3 linked regions of the Xenopus tropicalis genome follow. The protein of the gene in region 1 purifies or fractionates together with the protein of each later gene. This does not show direct contact. Links are inferred from orthologs where the notes say so. Each region holds a gene or a part of one and is shown in the gene's direction. Other genes may lie near its edges.

Region 1 (5,958 bases):
ACATTTTGTAACAACCAATGTTTTTTTCCCCTTATATTTATTCAGGACCCTGATAAGGGACCTGTTCCAAGCTTCCAGCCTTTCCAACGTAGCGTTTCTGTGGATGAGGAACAGGCAGAGGTAACTGGGCCACAAATAAAATGGAAGAATTTATTGAGAGTTACATGGTGTAGCACATTAAATAATAAATTCCTCATTTCTTATACAGAGTTCCAGAAGGTCTCAGAGAAAATCACTCTATGAAAGGTAACAAGAAAATTCATGTTTCACAGCATATTTACACACTTGTCATTCACTTGTCTATGAATCTTTTCATTCATCCAGGTCATGATATACAGTATCTAGTAGAATAAAGTCTAAAACAGTTGGACTTTTTCTGACTTTGTTCCGAGTGGCTTCTTTAGTTCAAATGACTGGTAGGGAATATTGGACTGTGCAATAGTTATCAAAGAGGGGGACCTGGATATTGACGTATACAGAAAATCCACCCACAAAGATCAGTACTTGCTGTTTGATTCCCACTACCCTTTGGAACATAAACTGGGTGTTATTAGGACTCTACATCATTGGGCTGAAAATGTGGCATCCTATGCAGAGGCTAAAGAGAAGGAATACAAACATCTAAAAGGAGCACTGAAAACTTGACTGGGCCTTTATCAAACCTAAATTAAAGACAAGCAAAAAGACCAGACCAGCAAACAGAAGGGAGGAACACAGCAGGTGAAGCAATATAGTCAGCCCATATGTTTCTGGAACATCAGAAAAACTTAGGAGAATTTTCAACAAACCTCACATTCCTGTGTATTTCAAACCCAGCAACACTTAAAGTTGGTGCACTCTGAAGACCCTACACCAAAGCACATGAAAAGTAATGTGTTCTATGCTGTCCAGTGTAGTGAATGAAGAGTGCTCTGATTTATACATTGGGGAGACAAAACAACCTCTCTGTAAGGGAATGGCCCAACATAGGAGGGCTAACTACTCAGGTCAAGACTCAGCACTAGTAAAGTGCATATTTTGGAATGAGAGGACAGATGGTTTGAAAGAGGCCATTTATGCTAGCCTGGAAAAACCATCCCTGAACAGAGGAGGGGACCTGCAACACCAATTGTCATCAACATACAATATCGCTTTGACATCCTTACCCCGGCAGTTTCACAACAGTTCACACTTCCAGTCATGTACTTTGAAGGATTAAAACCTGCATCAATGAGAATCATGATACCATTGTAACTGGATCATACCTTCTTACACCTGTGAGTTTCAGCCAACACTTAACTGAAGTTCAATGGAACCATTATGATTGGATTCTCTAGGGTTTAAATGCTGGGGAATTCCCAACCAGTCAATTGAACTAAACCACTCGGATGAGTTTGTGAAAAAACTTAGAAAAAGTCCAGTTGTTTTAGACTTAATTCTACTAGATACTGATTGTTATTGACTTGTGCCAACGTTGGATGCCTCCTTGTGCCAACGTTGGATGCAGCTCTGGCGAGGATGAGATACTATAAACTTCTAATTTGATACATGAGTTGATACATTTTCTTATTTTTTGTCCTGCTGAGAATAGTCCCTCAGATTTATTAATTGATACAATAGTTGCTAATATTCTACAGATGCTGATGTATGAACTAATATAGTAATTAGTTACTAACATAGCAATTGCTAACAGTTCAAAGTATGCACCTGGATTACTGAGCTTCTAGACTTAACCTATCACCCTGTAATTGGTTCCCCCATCAGAGGTGCAGGCTAATAGGCCCAGCATTTTGGTTGGGGAAACCAATGTTTTCCTTTTTTTTTTTTTTTTTTTTTTTAAAATACAGCCCCCGCCATTGCTAGGCTGCCCACACTGAGAGGGAGCTTCCAGAGTGGGTGGCCGCATCGTCTGCTGCGCATGCACATAATGAGTATGTCTCCCCACTCACTCATTATGCGCTTTTGCCTGATGTAGGATTGGTGGATGTGATTCACCCTCCTACGTCACACATGAGTTGCGAGTTTTGGCATCCACTCATTATGCACGTGCGAATGCCACAACATGGCTGCCAGCAGCTATTGTTTCTCTTAATCAGAGTGCAGGCTCTATTAGCCTACACCTTTGGTGGGGTAACAATTTAAGGGGGGTAGGTGTCCTTTAAACACCAGAGAGAGAGAGAGAGAGACAGGAAAGTTTAAACTTCAGTATTAGAAAAAGAGAACAAAGTACAGAGTAAAGATGTATATATTTTTATAAACTACTTCTGTGTTATTCTACACTAATTAGTAGAGATAGCACAATAATTTTCTCTAGTGTGTTGAACTGTGTATAACTATTTAGAAATTTGGCTCATTAGAATGAGTAAATCTTTTAATCCAGATTTATTTTCTTATGTACTTCTTTTGTACCTTTTCCTTCCTAATTTTTTTCCCCCCTCATTCTAGTTTTGTCAGCCCGAGTGAGCGAATGAGAGATCCTGAGAGAGAAAGCGAGGAACGAGAGAGTGAGAGGGATACTCGTCGAGGAGAGAGGGAACTTTTAGAGAGAGAACCTTATGATAGAGATCGTGGAAGAGAGCGAGATCGTGACCGGGACAGAGAACGAGATAGAGACCGAAGTGAGAGAGACCGCGAAAGAGATCGTGAAAGGGACAGAGATGGCTTTTACCGCAGTAATTTGCCACTTTTTTGATTTTTACTGAAGCAGAGGGCTGGAATTATAGCTCTGCTATTCATCTTAGCTTCCCTTTGCCTAACTTCCTTACCAGGTCTTCATTTACTAATGATTTAACCAGTGCCTTTGTCATGCATCCTGTAGGATCAGATTCATTCCCTGAACGTCGGGCTCCAAGGAAAGGTAATACTGTTTATGTTCATGGTGTGGGCATGAACCAGACAATGCTTCGTGAGGCTTTTTCCAGCTTTGGGAACATTATTGATCTTTCTGTGGATGCTCCAAGGAAGTAAGTAGGCACTGTATGGACCTTACTAGTGTGCTTTTAGGCTGGCAACCTTTTAATTTTGGGGGCCTTTTATTCCCAGCTGTGCTTTTGTTACATATGAGAAGATGGAGTCAGCTGACCAGGCTATTTCAGAGGTGAGTTTTGCTGCATGGTTTCCTTTTACTGCCTCCTTTATTCCATTTGATACTGCTATTCTTTGTCATTGTCACTTTGGAGTATTAAACACATAGAACTGAAAAAATGGGATTTTGTTGTTTTTTTTTAAGCCGTTTTTGTTTTCTCAGATTTTTAGAAAATAAAGATTGGGCTCTTTATTTAAACAGCAAGGCTTCTAAAACTGTGCTATGCAGTGTTGTATGCTTCACTAAATGTTTGCTATAATTATCTGCTTGATTGTTTGCTATGATAAGTGTTGGAGGCCTTAAAGGAACAGTAACACCAAAAAATTTAAATGTCTTAAAGTAATTAAAATATAATTTACTGTTACCTAAACTGGTGTGTTTGCTTTAGCAACACTATTATATTTTATATAAATACCCTGCTGTGTAGCTACAGGGGCAGCCATTCAAGCTGGAAAAAAGGAGAAAAGGCACAGTTTTTATAACAGATAAGACACCATTGTATTCTACTGAGTTTATCTGTTATCTGCTATGTAACCTGTGCCCTTTCTCCTTTTGAATGGCTGCTCCCATGGCTACACAGCAGCTTATTTATATAAACTATAGTAGTTTTTCTGAAACAAACACACTACTTTTACCAGTGCAGGGAAATAGTACATAATATAATAATTATTTTGATACACTTTCATTTTTTGGTGTTACTTTTCTTTTAAAAGTATATCAAACAGCTATACTTTGAGAAGTTTAACCTCATGCCCCTATTGGGTCAAATTCCTTGAACCTCTGTAAAATTTGTTCTCACGTCTGAACTGAATTCTTCTTCTTCTAATTCAGCTTAATAACAAGGTGATAGAAGACATACCAGTGAAGGTTAGCATAGCTCGCAAACAGCCTATGTTGGAGGCAGCCACAGGAAAATCAGTTTGGGGTTCATTGGGTAAGTTGTAACTTTATATGTAAATGTTTCTCTTGCAATTTCTCTACAAATATAGTCATAAGGCTGCAGAGCTACATTATGGACTGCTGGTGAAAGGGACAGTACCAGCATGATATTGCTTTTACAAGGCAAGCTGTAGAAGGCAAGAATCTCTGCAAACCTGTAGCACCCGGTGGAGGTGGAATGTGGACTGCCTATTTACACTAAAGGGCAATTCAGAAGTTAATAGTGCAACCACATGGGTGCTCTGACAGCACAGGCAAAACAAAGAAGACTTAACCAATAAGAAAACTGTCCCCTTCTGCCCTGGATTGGTACTTAACATTATATAGTAAAATGTCACAGATTTATCTTCTGTTTTTCTTTTCCTTCACAGCTGTACAGAACAGTGTTAAAGGTTCACACAGAGATAAGAGGTCTCAGGTCAATTACTCTGAAGATTTATTTAGCGATGGTCAAACTGATGCTGATAAAAAGCCAGGATAAAGAGAAGCGAGGAGAAAGAGAATATTAGGGCCCAAGATCTCTATGTGTACATGGTACACATGGTTGAGGATGGTAAATAAAGTGACCGTTGACTATTTAAAGAAACAAGACTGTGCTTATATGCTATGCCCAAGATTTTTTTTTTTTAACTATAATTTAAAATGGCTTTTCAGTTATTTGTGGATATGTAGGTTACTGTTTGCATTGTCCCTTTAAATATGTACTCTACATTCCTGTAATAATGATTTAGTGACTACTTTCTACTAATTGGCTTTATCTCAGTTGTTTTGGGCACATTTACCATCTCAGCATGCATAGAGTATGCCAATAGACACAAGGAAGGTAAATAAAATTACTTGTATAAGGTACAACAGGAGGTATTGGGACCCAAGTTATTTCTTGAGTATCACAGTAATGGTATATGTTTTGTCACATGTAACAGCCTAAATTATAGACAACCTTAATATAACACTTTCCATTTCAAACTGGAGACTTGCTAGAAAAACTCACACACTCAACTATATTTTTCAGATGTGGTTTATCACTTAAGAACATATAAGTATGAGCTCTTCTGCTGTCTCAGCAGCACTGCAGCATGACTTAGAATGTTTCCAACTTGCCAAATTGGAAAAGCTGCTGAGGAGAAGGGTCCTTTGACAGGCATAATTCAGGCAGAAATGACCTTGTCTACATAAGCTGCGCTTGTGCTATTGACCTTTAAAGGATTATACATCTTTGGCCAAGAATGCGGAAATAAGACTAATATCACACTAGGCTTTTTCCCATTATTTGGCACACAATACTTTCTGCCATGGACAATACTTTTAGCCAGTGATCCCCAACCAGTGGCTCGGGGGCAACATGTTGCTCCCCAACCCCTTGGATGTTGCTCTCAGTGCCCCCAAACCAGGGAGTTATTTTTGAATTCCTGACTTGGGGGCAAGTTTTGGTTGAATAAAAACAAGATTTCCTACCAAATAAAGCCCCTGTAAGCTGATAGACTGCATAGAGGCTCCCTAATAGCCAATCACAGCCCTTATTTGGCACCTCCATGAACTTTTATGGTGCTTGTGTTGCTCTCCAAGTCTTTTTACATTCGACTGTGGCTCACGAGTAAGAAAGGTTGGGGATCCCTGCTTTTAGCCATGGACAACTATTATTTTGCAAATGGTTCTACTTTGTACAGATTTGAAGGATGGGATTTTACAAAACCTTTCAGGCATTTCCCAGTCACAAAAAGATTGTATATTGTTCCTCTAAGACTAGAGGTCATTCCTTTATGTTTGTTGTGGGTTGGGTATTTCTGGGTTAAAGAAGGAAAGCATTGGACCACTACTTCTTAGAATAAACTGTGATTTTACTGAGGACAACAATATAATGAAACAACAAGTTGCTGTATATAAAAAGATTGCATCTGCATTCTGAATGCATATGTGAGTTAACTTATGCAGAAGAAAGAACAAAGGCAGAAAAT
Region 2 (6,400 bases), on another chromosome or scaffold:
ACCCCCATGCAGTCTATAACATTCCCCTCCCCAGCAAGAGATGTGCAGGGAGCAATAACCCCCATGCAGTCTATAACGTTCCCCTCCCCAGCAAGAGATGCGCAGGGCAGGGAGCAATAACCCCCATGCAGTCTATAACATTCCCCTCCCCAGCAAGAGATGCGCAGGGAGCAATAACCCCCATGCAGTCTATAACATTCCCCTCCCCAGCAAGAGATGTGCAGGGAGCAATAACCCCCATGCAGTCTATAACGTTCCCCTCCCCAGCAAGAGATGCGCAGGTCAGGGAGCAATAACCCCCATGCAGTCTATAACATTCCCCTCCCCAGCAAGAGATGCGCAGGGAGCAATAACCCCCATGCAGTCTATAACATTCCCCTCCCCAGCAAGAGATGCGCAGGGAGCAATAACCCCCATGCAGTCTATAACATTCCCCTCCCCAGCAAGAGATGCGCAGAGAGCAATAACCCCCATGCAGTCTATAACGTTCCCCTCCCCAGCAAGAGATGCGCAGGGCAGGGAGCAATAACCCCCATGCAGTCTATAACATTCCCCTCCCCAGCAAGAGATGCGCAGGGAGCAATAACCCCCATGCAGTCTATAACATTCCCCTCCCCAGCAAGAGATGTGCAGGGAGCAATAACCCCCATGCAGTCTATAACGTTCCCCTCCCCAGCAAGAGATGCGCAGGGCAGGGAGCAATAACCCCCATGCAGTCTATAACATTCCCCTCCCCAGCAAGAGATGCGCAGGGAGCAATAACCCCCATGCAGTCTATAACATTCCCCTCCCCAGCAAGAGATGCGCAGGGAGCAATAACCCCCATGCAGTCTATAACATTCCCCTCCCCAGCAAGAGATGCGCAGAGAGCAATAACCCCCATGCAGTCTATAACATTCCCCTCCCCAGCAAGAGATGCGCAGGGAGCAATAACCCCCATGCAGTCTATAACATTCCCCTCCCCAGCAAGAGATGTGCAGGGAGCAATAACCCCCATGCAGTCTATAACGTTCCCCTCCCCAGCAAGAGATGCGCAGGTCAGGGAGCAATAACCCCCATGCAGTCTATAACATTCCCCTCCCCAGCAAGAGATGCGCAGGGAGCAATAACCCCCATGCAGTCTATAACATTCCCCTCCCCAGCAAGAGATGCGCAGGGAGCAATAACCCCCATGCAGTCTATAACATTCCCCTCCCCAGCAAGAGATGCGCAGGGAGCAATAACCCCCATGCAGTCTATAACATTCCCCTCCCCAGCAAGAGATGCGCAGAGAGCAATAACCCCCATGCAGTCTATAACATTCCCCTCCCCAGCAAGAGATGTGCAGAGAGCAATAACCCCCATGCAGTCTATAACATTCCCCTCCCCAGCAAGAGATGCGCAGGGAGCAATAACCCCCATGCAGTCTATAACATTCCCCTCCCCAGCAAGAGATGCGCAGGGAGCAATAACCCCCATGCAGTCTATAACATTCCCCTCCCCAGCAAGAGATGCGCAGAGAGCAATAACCCCCATGCAGTCTATAACATTCCCCTCCCCAGCAAGAGATGCGCAGGTCAGGGAGCAATAACCCCCATGCAGTCTATAACATTCCCCTCCCCAGCAAGAGATGCGCAGGTCAGGAAGCAATAACCCCCATGCAGTCTATAACATTCCCCTCCCCAGCAAGAGATGCGCAGGGAGCAATAACCCCCATGCAGTCTATAACATTCCCCTCCCCAGCAAGAGATGCGCAGGGAGCAATAACCCCCATGCAGTCTATAACATTCCCCTCCCCAGCAAGAGATGCGCAGAGAGCAATAACCCCCATGCAGTCTATAACATTCCCCTCCCCAGCAAGAGATGCGCAGAGAGCAATAACCCCCATGCAGTCTATAACACTGTATCACAGAACCATCCCGGTGCCCCAGTCCCTTACTGTCACTGCCTGCATTCTACTCTATGGCCGCCAGGGGCGCACGGTTACCAGTTTGACAGAACACAGGAAGTACGTCATCCACCTGCGCCGGGCGCGACAGAAGGAAAAGCAAAGCGCTCCCGGGAGTTTGGGACCCGGATACCGGGCGGGATGGACGCGGAGTTTTTCATGGGGGGGGCGGGAGGGATTATTGGGGACTGGGAGGACAGGGGAATGGTACGTACTGGGGTTACTGGGAGAGGCGCTGGGTGAGGGGCAGAGAGACGGGAATGAGAGACATATTGGGGGCAGATATTTTGGGGAGAAACGGGGGGGGCGGGATACAGGGATTGGGCACCGGCAGGGGGAGAGGGAGGGGGTTTTAGGGGGGCTTCAGAGTTGAGGTTAGGCTGGGGTTGGGGTACATATATATTGGGGTTGGGGTACATATATATTGGGGGGGAGGCAGGACAGGGGTTGGGGTACATATATATTGGGGTTGGGGTACATATATATTGGGGGGAGGCAGGCTGGGGTTGGGGTACATATATATTGGGGTTGGGGTACATATATATTGGGGGGGAGGCAGGACAGGGGTTGGGGTACATATATATTGGGGTTGGGGTACATATATATTGGGGTTGGGGTACATATATATTGGGGGGGAGGCAGGACAGGGGTTGGGGTACATATATATTGGGGCTGGGGTACATATATATTGGGGTTGGGGTACATATATATTGGGGGGGAGGCAGGACAGGGGTTGGGGTACATATATATAGGGGTACATATATATTGGGGCTGGGGTACATACTGTATATACTGGGGTACATATATATTGGGGCTGGGGTACATATATATAGGGGTACATATATATATTGGGGCTGGGGTACATACTGTATATACTGGGGTACATATATATTGGGGTACATATAATGGGGTTGGGCGCAGTTCTCACACAGAATTCTTGCCGTTCCAGGATGAAGACTATGGGGAAGGGGAGGATGATGGGGAGGTGCAACAGGAGTGTTTGCGGAAATTCACCACCCGGGATTATATCATGGAACCTGCTGTTTTCAACACACTGAAGAGGTGAGAGGCGCAGGGGCCCCCCAGGCTTCTGTGAGGAATGGGGGGGGGGGGGACAGAACCAAAGGGCAGAGGACAGGGAGCCGGGATGGGAATACACAGGGGGGAGTAGAGCCCAGAGGGTGGGGGAACCCAGAACAACTCCCAGATTGTCAGTGGGGTGGTGGGAGTTGCAGTTCACACAGCCTGAAACCCTCCTGTTACATTAAGTTGTTGCGTGTGAATTCCAGGTACTTCCAGTCGGGGGGGTCCCCAGAAAATGTCATCCAGCTCCTGTCGGAGAATTACAGCGCCGTGGCGCAGACTGTGAATCTGCTGGCGGAATGGCTCATCCACTCGGGTACAGACATTTATTTATTCCGACCCCCCTACTCGTAATTCCAGCCTCTCGTTCATACTGACTTGTTACTATTTCTAGCATCTTTGCAATTGGTCTTCATTTTTTATTTTATTTTTATAGTTATAGAATTATTTGCCTTCATTTCCAGCTATCAAATGGGGGTCACTGACCCCGGCAACCTGAATACTCTCTGCTCTGTGAGGCTCCAGTTTTATTGTTATTATTACTTTTTGTAACTTTATTTTCTAGTCAGTCCCTCTCCTATTCATATACGAGTCTCTTATCCAAACCTCTCCCTGGTTGCTAAGTTAAACACAACCCTAGCGACCAAATAGCTGCTGAAACATGAGTCCTGAATTGAAAATGAAATAACTAAAAAACTACAAATAATAAAAAATTGCAATTGCAAATTGTCTCAGAATATTCAATATACGTCCTTGCCACCCTTGGCCGGGTTAGTTTCCATCAAAGGAAACTGTAGGAATGGCACTGGTGAGTATTCTGGATAAGGGGTGAGCTTTGTGTGTATCCCCCCAAATACCTGTGTGTGATTGGCTGCAGGTGTGGAGCCCGCGCAGGTACAAGAGACGGTGGAAAACCATCTGAAGAGTTTACTGATCAAACACTTCGACCCAAGGAAAGCCGACTCCATCTTTACAGAGGAAGGAGAGGTAACAGGGATGTTCCGCGGGTTGGGGGGGCTAGAGAGTAGATTTGGGGGTACATTCTTTGCTCATTGTGCGCAGACGCCGGCCTGGCTGGAGCAGATGATCGCCCACACCACATGGAGAGATCTGTTCTACAAACTGGCAGAGGCCCATCCCGACTGCCTGATGCTGAACTTCACTGTCAAGGTGGGTACATACGGCTGGGCCCCCCCAGTCACCCCGAGTCTGAGCAACTCCTACTGCGCAGCCTTTGTGTATGAGATCTCCCAAGCCCTTTATTATAGGGGTGGTTCCCCTTTAAGATAACGTTTAGTATGTTATAGAATGACCTGTTCCTAGCAGCTTTGCAATTGGTCTTCATTATTTATTTTTTATAGTTATTGAATTATTTGCCTTCATTGTGCAGCTTTCACACAGGGGTCGCTGACCCCGGCAGCCAAAACCTATTGCTCCAGTTTTATTGTTATTGTTACTTTTTATCCCATATCTTTCTATTCAGCCCCTCCCCTATTTATATTCCAGTGTCTCATTCACACCACTGCCTAGTTGCTAAGGTAAACATGACCCTAGCAACCAGATAGCTGCTGAAAGTCCTTCTCTGGACCCTCAAAACTGTGCTTTGTGCTTCACATATTTTTTTTCCCATTTTGCAGCTGATCTCGGATGCCGGGTACCAGGGGGAAATCACCAGCGTCTCCACGGCGTGCCAGCAGCTGGAAGTCTTCTCCAGGGTCCTCCGTACTTCCCTGGCAACGATCCTGGATGGGGGAGAAGAGAACTTGGAGAAAAACCTCCCCGAATTCGCAGTACATACGTTTAAACCATTTGCGCCACATGGGGGGGGGGGGTGCTGCGCAGATGTAACGTGTGTTACGTGTGTTACGTGTGTTACGTGTGTAACGTGTGTAACGTGTGTTACGTGTGTAACCTGTGTAACCTGTGTAACGTGTGTAACCTGTGTAACCTGTGTTACGTGTGTAACCTGTGTAACGTGTGTAACGTGTGTAACGTGTGTAACCTGTGTAACGTGTGTAACGTGTGTAACGTGTGTTACGTGTGTTACGTGTGTAACCTGTGTAACGTGTGTAACGTGTGTAACGTGTGTAACGTGTGTAACGTGTGTAACGTGTGTAACGTGTGTAACGTGTGTAACGTGTGTAACGTGTTTCTGTGCCCCGCAGAAGATGGTGTGTCACGGAGAGCACACGTACTTGTTCGCTCAGGCCATCATGTCCATCCTGTCGCAGGAGGAGCAGGGGGGGTCGGCCATGAGAAGGATCGCACAAGAGGTCCAGAGATTTGCACATGAAAAGTAAGAGCAATGAGTGCATCCCCTGCTGCCCAATGAAAGGCCATTTATATAACGGGGTACAGCAAGAAAAGGGGGAACTTGTGCTCCCCACTAAACTATAAACCAGTAGGTGGGGGGGCAATGAGGCTGTGACCACAGAATTAATATAAACAACAACAAGAGCCCCTCTGCCCTCCCCCATTATCAATATATATAGGGCATTAACCCATTCTGTGCATTAAGCTGCCGAGAAATGCCCTCCCCTTTATACAGGGATTGTTTGTCCTTATATTGTAATATATTCCAGCTGCCCAACTGGGTCACACTCACCTCCAGTCTGGCCTGTCCTACACTCACTCACCCCCGGTCTGGCCTGTCCTACACTCACTCACCCCCGGTCTGGCCTGTCCTACACTCACTCACCCCCGGTCTGGCCTACACTCACTCACCCCCGGTCTGGCCTGTCCTACACTCACTCACCCCCGGTCTGGCCTGTCCTACACTCACTCACCCCCGGTCTGGCCAGTCCTACACTCACTCACCCCCGGTCTGGCCTACACTCACATCACCCCCCAGTCTGGCCAGTCCTACACTCACTCACCCCCGGTCTGGCCTGTCCTACACTCACTCACCCCGGTCTGGCCTACACTCACTCCACCCCCGCGTCTGGCCCTGTCCCACACTCACTCACCCCGGTCTTGGCCTACCTCACATCCACCCCCGGTCTGGCCTGTCCTACACTCACTACCCCCGGTTCCTGGCCTGTCCTACAGCTCACTCACCCCCGGTCTGGCCTGTCCTACACTCAACTCACGGCCCCGGTCTGGCCTGTCCCTACACTCACTGCACCGCGCCGGTCTGGCCAGTCCTAACACTCACCACCCCCGGTTGGGCTGTCCCCTCCTCCCGTCTGGCCTACACTCACTCACCCGGCTGGCTGTCCTACACTCACTCCCCGGTCTGGCCAGTCCTACACTCACTCACCCCCGGTCTGGCCAGTCCTACACTCACTCACCCCCGGCCTACACTCACTCACCCCCGGTCTGGCCAGTCCTACACTCACTCACCCCCGGTCTGGCCAGTCCTACACTCACCCCCGGTCTGGCCTGTCCTAC
Region 3 (6,416 bases), on another chromosome or scaffold:
CGCTGCTCTGGGGTCCTTCTTGGGGTCATCTGACGCAACAGCGTCACTTCCAGCCCCCAGCGCTCGTTGCCTAGGGGATCCTGCAGCGATCGGCGGCTTTTGAAAGAGGAAGAAGCCGCCGATCAGTATCCACATGGCCAGAAGCAGGAAGACGTACAAGGTACGTCGCTGGCACTCAGTGCATTGCCTTGCCAACACGTACGCCGTACGGTGTTGGCAGGCAAAGGGTTAAGGTGCCCATACACGTGAAGATCTGCTCGCTTGGCGATCTTCTCCCGATAACCCACCTACGGGTGGGCGATATCGGGGAACATGTAGGCTAATTCGATCGTTTGGCCCTGGGCGGCAATGGGGCAGTCGGTTCGGGGACCGCATCAACGAGTTTTCTGCAGAAAAGTTAGTGTAACTTGGCAAATATACTGTAAAGAGCACACAGTGTTCTAGGAATATTTGTCAGGGCACCAAGTCAATTAGTATTGTCTTGGGCACCAATACAACCTGGCTCAGCAAAGCAAAATCCCTTCAGACACCATGCTAAGCAAACCTTCATCAAATATGAGAACCAAATTACCTGTATAGGTATAGGAACTATTATACCAGCTGCCCCCATACATCAGAGCCGTCAACCCTGACAGACTATCTCCCAGGGGACTGTTAGTGGGCGCAGCATGGCGCTGATCCAGTATGGACATGTGCAATGTGATTGCGACTGCGCACAATGTGACTGACGTCACGTAATGCTCACTGTGTAGCTATTTCGAAAGACTCCTGGTAGTCTGGGGTGCTTGACACCTGTGCTGCCAGGACATTTAAATACTGAGGTTTTTTTCTCTATCAACATTCAATTCAAGTTCAATTCATTTCTTATTATTACAGAAATAAAAACCAAATTTCAGAGCTTTCTGGATAACTGGTATAACAGAACCCATACAATTAAAGGATGGGACTTACTCGTCAGGTAGAATATAGATAAAACTAGGGATGCCAATTGAGTTGCCAACTAGGGATGTCAATTGAGCTGCCAAGTGGCAACTGATGCCAATGTTATTAATAGGAAAAAAAGCTTAAAATATAAGAACCATTAAAAAAACTGAACGGAATTCCAGCCAATTGCAAGTGTTGCAGTAACCGCACCCTGGCATCATAACCCCACCCAACGTGCCTGACCCTGAGGTCATCATGCCCACCCCACCAACTGCCCCACCCTCAATACCATCAGCCCCACCCCCTTTGTTCGGGTTTAGCCACTGGCAAAGGTGGCGACCCTAATTGCCACCAATTACATTGCAGGTAAATTTGTAATTCCGTACCCTGGCCCTAGCTGGTGATTTACTGTCTGGGCTGATCAAATTACCGGCCAGGCGCTAAACCCTACTCGAATTTGCTAAAAAGACTTTTTAGCAACAGCCTCCAAAAGGCAGGGATTATCAGACTAATGTGGTTATGTAATAAAAGACATAAAGTTCAGCACTGTTGAAGAAATTCAGAGCAGCCCACTTCATGGTCAACTGTTTGAATACAAACATTTTTGGTTGCTATGGGTAACATCCTACGCAACCTAAGAACCTTTATTATACTACAATATCCATTTTGTGCACCTCAGTACTTGCTCCCAGCACAGCCCTGCCCACCCCCAATGAGAGGGAGCTCAGCACTTCCTGACTGTATGTGGGAACACTGGGGAACCCTGCAGCACCGCAGGTAGTGAGGAATCAAGATGGCAGGGAGAAACAGTGATACATTATGTGGGCACTGGGCAAGTTGGGGTGCTAAGGGTTGTTTGGGTACCCCACAGTGTGTTTGAGGGAGCTGGGACACTGCCATTCATGCATAAAATCTCAGGAATTTGCTGAAAGACTTTTTAGCAACAGCCTTCAAAAGGCAGGGATTATCAGACTAATGTGGTTATGTAATAAAAGACATAAAGTTCAGCACTGTTGAATAAATTCAGAGCAGCCCACTTCATGGTCAACTGTTTGAATACAAATATTTTTGGTTGCTATGGGTAACTTATCCTAAGCAACCTAAGAACCTTTATTATACTACGATATCCATTTTTTGCACCTCAGTACTTGCTCCCAGCACAGCCCTGCCCACCCCCAATGAGAGGGAGCTCAGCACTTCCTGACTGTATGTGGGAACACTGGTGACCAATCAAGATGGCAGGGAGAAACAGTGATACATTATGTGGGCATTGGGCAAGTTGGGGTGCTGAGGGTTGTTTGGGTACCCCACAGTGTGTTTGAGGCAACTGGGACACTGCCATTCATGCATGATATCACAGGAATTTGCTGAAAGACTTTTTAGCAACAGCCTCCAAAAGGCAGGGATTATCAGACTAATGCGGTTATGTAATAAAAGACATAAAGTTCAGCACTGTTGAATAAATTCAGAGCAGCCCACTTCATGGTCAACTGTTTGAACACTAACATTTTTTGGTTGCTATGGCTAACTTATCCTACGCAACCTAAGAACCTTTATTATACATTCTCTTTTTAACGTTAAACCAATCACAAGCGAGTCTCAGCCCGCCTTCCGGGCAGGTATCGCGATAGTACGCTCCGAGACTTCCTGTGACAGGAGTCCCGACCAGCGCCAGAAGGGGTCCTCACGGCCGTGTTTTTAGGTGACTTCATAAAATGCCTGCTCGGGAGCTTTTTTCTTTTTTCCCAAGATGGCGTCTATGAGGGAGAGTGACACCGGCCTGTGGCTTCACAACAAGTTGGGCTCCGCTGACGAGCTGTGGGCGCCCCCGAGTATCGCCTCCTTGCTCACCGCCTCCGTCATAGACAACGTGCGGCTGTGTTTCCATAACTTGTCCTCCGCCGTCAAACTGAAGCTGCTGCTGGGGATCCTGCACCTCCCGCGGCGCACAGTGGATGAGGTGAGTCCCGAACACTTACTCCCTTCTCTGCTGGGACAGTGACAGGCAAAGGAACCCAGTGACAGGCTGACAGAGGACTACGTTTCCCAGCAGCCTTTGCAGTCCAGTAGTTGTGTTTATTATTCCAACGAGGGGGAGCCCTGCGGGGCAGGCAGCTGGTCTCTGCTCCACTACCTTTATCGCTGGAGGCAAAAGGGGGTGTGATACGAATCAACCCAAAATGTCACTTTTTAAAGGGCATAAAAAAGTTTTAAAGAAACTTTCCAATATGTATTGGCTACAGGGGTTTAGGGGTTTTAAAAGTTCTCTGCAACAGTAATTGCCTATAAAAGCAGTGCATGTCTGGCTGTTTATATATCATTATTATTATTATTAACATTTATTTATAAAGCGCCAACATATCCCGCAGCGCTGTACAATAAGTGGGTTACATACATTGGACATACAGAGTAACATATAAAGCAATCAGTAACCGATACAAGAGGGGAAGAGAGATAGATAAATAGATAGATAATAGAAAGATTATTATTATTAACATTGATTTATAAAGCGCCAACATATCCCGCAGCGCTGTACAATAAGTGGGTTCCATACATTGGACATACAGAGTAACATATAAAGCAATCAATAACCGATACAAGAGGTGAAGAGAGATAGATAAATAGATAGATAGATAATAGAAAGATTATTATTATTATTAACATTTATTTATAAAGCACCAACATATCCCGCAGCGCTGTACAATAAGTGGGTTTCATTCATTGGACATACAGAGTAACATATAAAGCAATCAATAACCAATACAAGAGATGAAGAGGGCCCTGCCCAAATAGAGCTTACAATCTACAAGGAGAAAGGGTTGAGACACAAGCTGGGGGGTATATATCACTGCACTGCCAGTTCTGACTTCTAATATTATGTTCAGAAGCTGACTTCTGCTACAATGTGTTAGGAGTCAGAACCAAAGAATATATAAAGGACGGACAGATGCTGCTCTCTGTAGCCATTATATTTACGTATTACTACAATGAATGTACAGGTATGGGATCCTTTATCCAGAAAGTTCCAAATTATGGAAAGGCCTTTTCCCACAGACTCTATTATGAGCAAATAATTCTAATTTTTAAATATGGTTTACTTTTTCTCTGTAATAATTAAAACAGTACCTGTACTTGATCCCAACTAAGATATAATTACGCCTTTTTGGGGGCAGAACAGCCCTATTGGGTTTATTTCATGGTTAAATGATTCCCTTTTCTCTGTAATAATAAAACAGTACCTGTAATTGATCCCAACTAAGATATAATTACCCCTTATTGGGGGCAGAACAGCCCTATTGGGTTTATTTAATATTTAAATGATTTTTAGCAGACTTAAGTTATGGAGATCCAAATTATGGAAAGATCCCTTATCTGGAAAACCGCAGGTCCCGAGCATTCTGGATAACAGGTCCCATACCTGTTACCTCTTGCACTTTTTCTACACTACAGATTCCTTTTGAGCACATGAAAATGATTAAAGGGCAAGTTAACCTCCAGATCACCTCCAGAAGAAGCAGACCCTGTTTGGGGGCCCTAAGCTGAAATTGCTGTGGGGCCCAGTTACACCTGGTTATGCCTCTGATTTTGGTCTGTGTGGCTAAATGATTTGTATTGGTTGTTGTAAAAGTGTTTTCCCTCCCGAGGGACTGATGTGCCAGGGCATGATGAAACTGAGGAAGGAAAGGTTGCAATATTGTACTTTGGGCCTGTTTGGCAAGTTGAATCAATCTACCTTGTCTGCTAAAAGTAATTTATTCATTATTATATGAACCCAATAGGATTGGTTTGCCACCAATATGGGTAAGAACATGATTTTATTTTGCTTAAAGGAGAAGTAAAGGCTAAATCACTGGGGGTGCCAAATGTCAGTGAGACGCTTTGGTTTTTTTCATGCATGATCAGCAAGCCTGTTAAGAAGCCTGCAAGGCATTATGGGAAATGGAGTCTTGGCTGCAGGAGAGCTGACTTCTGTTGCAATAGTCAGCAGTGCCAAAAGGAGCGGAGCCTCTGTCCTGTCTGATTGAAAACATCCAGATTGGTACATGTGTGGGTTCATTGACTCTGCAGATACAATGTGTCACATGACATAGCTGTGTCCTGTGAGAAGAAAGTGTAGATTGCAGTAGAAAATAGAAAATAAAATAAATTCCTCTCTAAAACAGGTATTTTTCTCTTAAGGGGATGTTATTTTTTAATGGAATGATTAACCTGCATATTCTGCCTCTTTCCAACCTGCAGTTGCCCCCCCAGCAACAAAACCAAAAATTGACTGTGAGGCTTCAGTTTTAATGTTATTCTTTGTTTTTACTGCTTATTTGTCATTTGGGGCCATCTACTATTCAGCTTCTATTTTCACTTCCAGGGTGCTTCCTGGTTACTAGGGTCGTTAAGTCATAGCAACCACCCAAATTAAAATCTGAAGTCCCATTTGCTAATTGCCCAAATTAAGGAACAAGTGCTTTGATCTTGCTGGAAGCGCAAAACCTGCTGCGTCGGTAGCTCTATAGATCATATGATGGGCAGCACTGGAAGGGTTAAACCATGCTAGGAGTTATTTATACACAGGAAATTGGTGGCTGATTGAGATATTGTCAGGAAGGAAACGCCAATAAGTAGTTTCTGTGCATGTGGTTAGGTGTCGGGCCGTATAAATGGCGCTCTGTGTGCAAATGAGCTAGTGAGGGGGGATAGGGGGTCAGGGCCATCTGGGTTTAGCCGTGCGTGGTGCCACTTTGCATGAGAGATGGAAATAAAATATTCAATATTTACTGCTGTGCGGCTCAGCGAGGAGCCGAAGTATCAGCCAATGTGCACGTTCCTACAGGTGGGCCCCGGTCTGTTCAGGTCATGGAGCTGCCATTACAGTCACCCTGGCACTAAACTACTGCTCATATGAATGTACGTCATGTTCCCTATAGGTCATGGTGATGGGTTTACTTTTCTACGTAATTGTTAGCTTAAAGGTGAAAACAACCTCTTTAACTAACAAGAGTGATAGTCTGAGACAGTTTGCTCAATTTGGTCTTCATTTTTTTATTATTTGCAGTTTGTCAGTTATTTAACTTTTTGTTTTAGCAGCTCTCCCGGTTATAGGTTCAGCAGCTATCTGGTTGTTAGGGTTGCAAATTACCTTAGCAACCAGGGAGTGGTTTGACTGAGAGACTGGTATATGAATAGGAGGGGGTCTGAATAGAAACAAGTTATAAAAAGTAACAATAATAAAACTGTAGCCTCAGAGAGCAATAGTTTATTGGCTGCCAAGGTCAGTGACCCCCATTTAAAAGCTGCAAAGAGTTAGTAGAAGGCAAATAATTCAAAAACTGTAACAAATAAATAATGAAGATCAGATACAAAGTTGCTTAGAATAGGTAATTCTATAACATAATAAAAATAAATTTAAAGGTGAAGTACCTATTTAAAGTCTCTAAACCTGACTGTTTTGCCAACCTGACTGTCCCTTCTCAGCCTGTCAGTTACAGCTTCTATTGCTA

Evidence for each region.
Region 2: the proteins of nelfe (region 1) and nelfcd purify together in Homo sapiens (affinity purification with mass spectrometry; 9 studies listed by BioGRID and IntAct, counting the BioPlex papers as one, with this or other methods). This does not show direct contact. The link is inferred for Xenopus tropicalis from reciprocal best matches to the Homo sapiens genes NELFE and NELFCD.
Region 3: the proteins of nelfe (region 1) and nelfa purify together in Homo sapiens (affinity purification with mass spectrometry; 9 studies listed by BioGRID and IntAct, counting the BioPlex papers as one, with this or other methods). This does not show direct contact. The link is inferred for Xenopus tropicalis from reciprocal best matches to the Homo sapiens genes NELFE and NELFA.

What each region holds. Positions count from the first base shown.
Region 1 is NC_030684.2:74,051,747-74,057,704, reverse strand, and holds the end of nelfe (negative elongation factor E), read left to right. Parts: intron 1-45; coding exon 46-120; intron 121-208; coding exon 209-246; intron 247-2,424; coding exon 2,425-2,671; 3' UTR 2,672-2,797; coding exon of another isoform or gene 2,798-2,942; 3' UTR 2,943-3,021; coding exon of another isoform or gene 3,022-3,076; 3' UTR 3,077-3,895; coding exon of another isoform or gene 3,896-3,998; 3' UTR 3,999-4,374; coding exon of another isoform or gene 4,375-4,484; 3' UTR 4,485-4,857; downstream 4,858-5,958. UniProt on the Homo sapiens protein: Essential component of the NELF complex, a complex that negatively regulates the elongation of transcription by RNA polymerase II.
Region 2 is NC_030686.2:3,058,559-3,064,958, forward strand, and holds the start of nelfcd (negative elongation factor C/D), read left to right. Parts: upstream 1-2,020; 5' UTR 2,021-2,068; coding exon 2,069-2,134; intron 2,135-2,876; coding exon 2,877-2,989; intron 2,990-3,216; coding exon 3,217-3,326; intron 3,327-3,887; coding exon 3,888-3,997; intron 3,998-4,072; coding exon 4,073-4,180; intron 4,181-4,647; coding exon 4,648-4,800; intron 4,801-5,175; coding exon 5,176-5,306; intron 5,307-6,400. UniProt on the Homo sapiens protein: Essential component of the NELF complex, a complex that negatively regulates the elongation of transcription by RNA polymerase II.
Region 3 is NC_030677.2:21,139,501-21,145,916, reverse strand, and holds the start of nelfa (negative elongation factor A), read left to right. Parts: upstream 1-2,584; 5' UTR 2,585-2,674; coding exon 2,675-2,884; intron 2,885-6,416. UniProt on the Homo sapiens protein: Essential component of the NELF complex, a complex that negatively regulates the elongation of transcription by RNA polymerase II.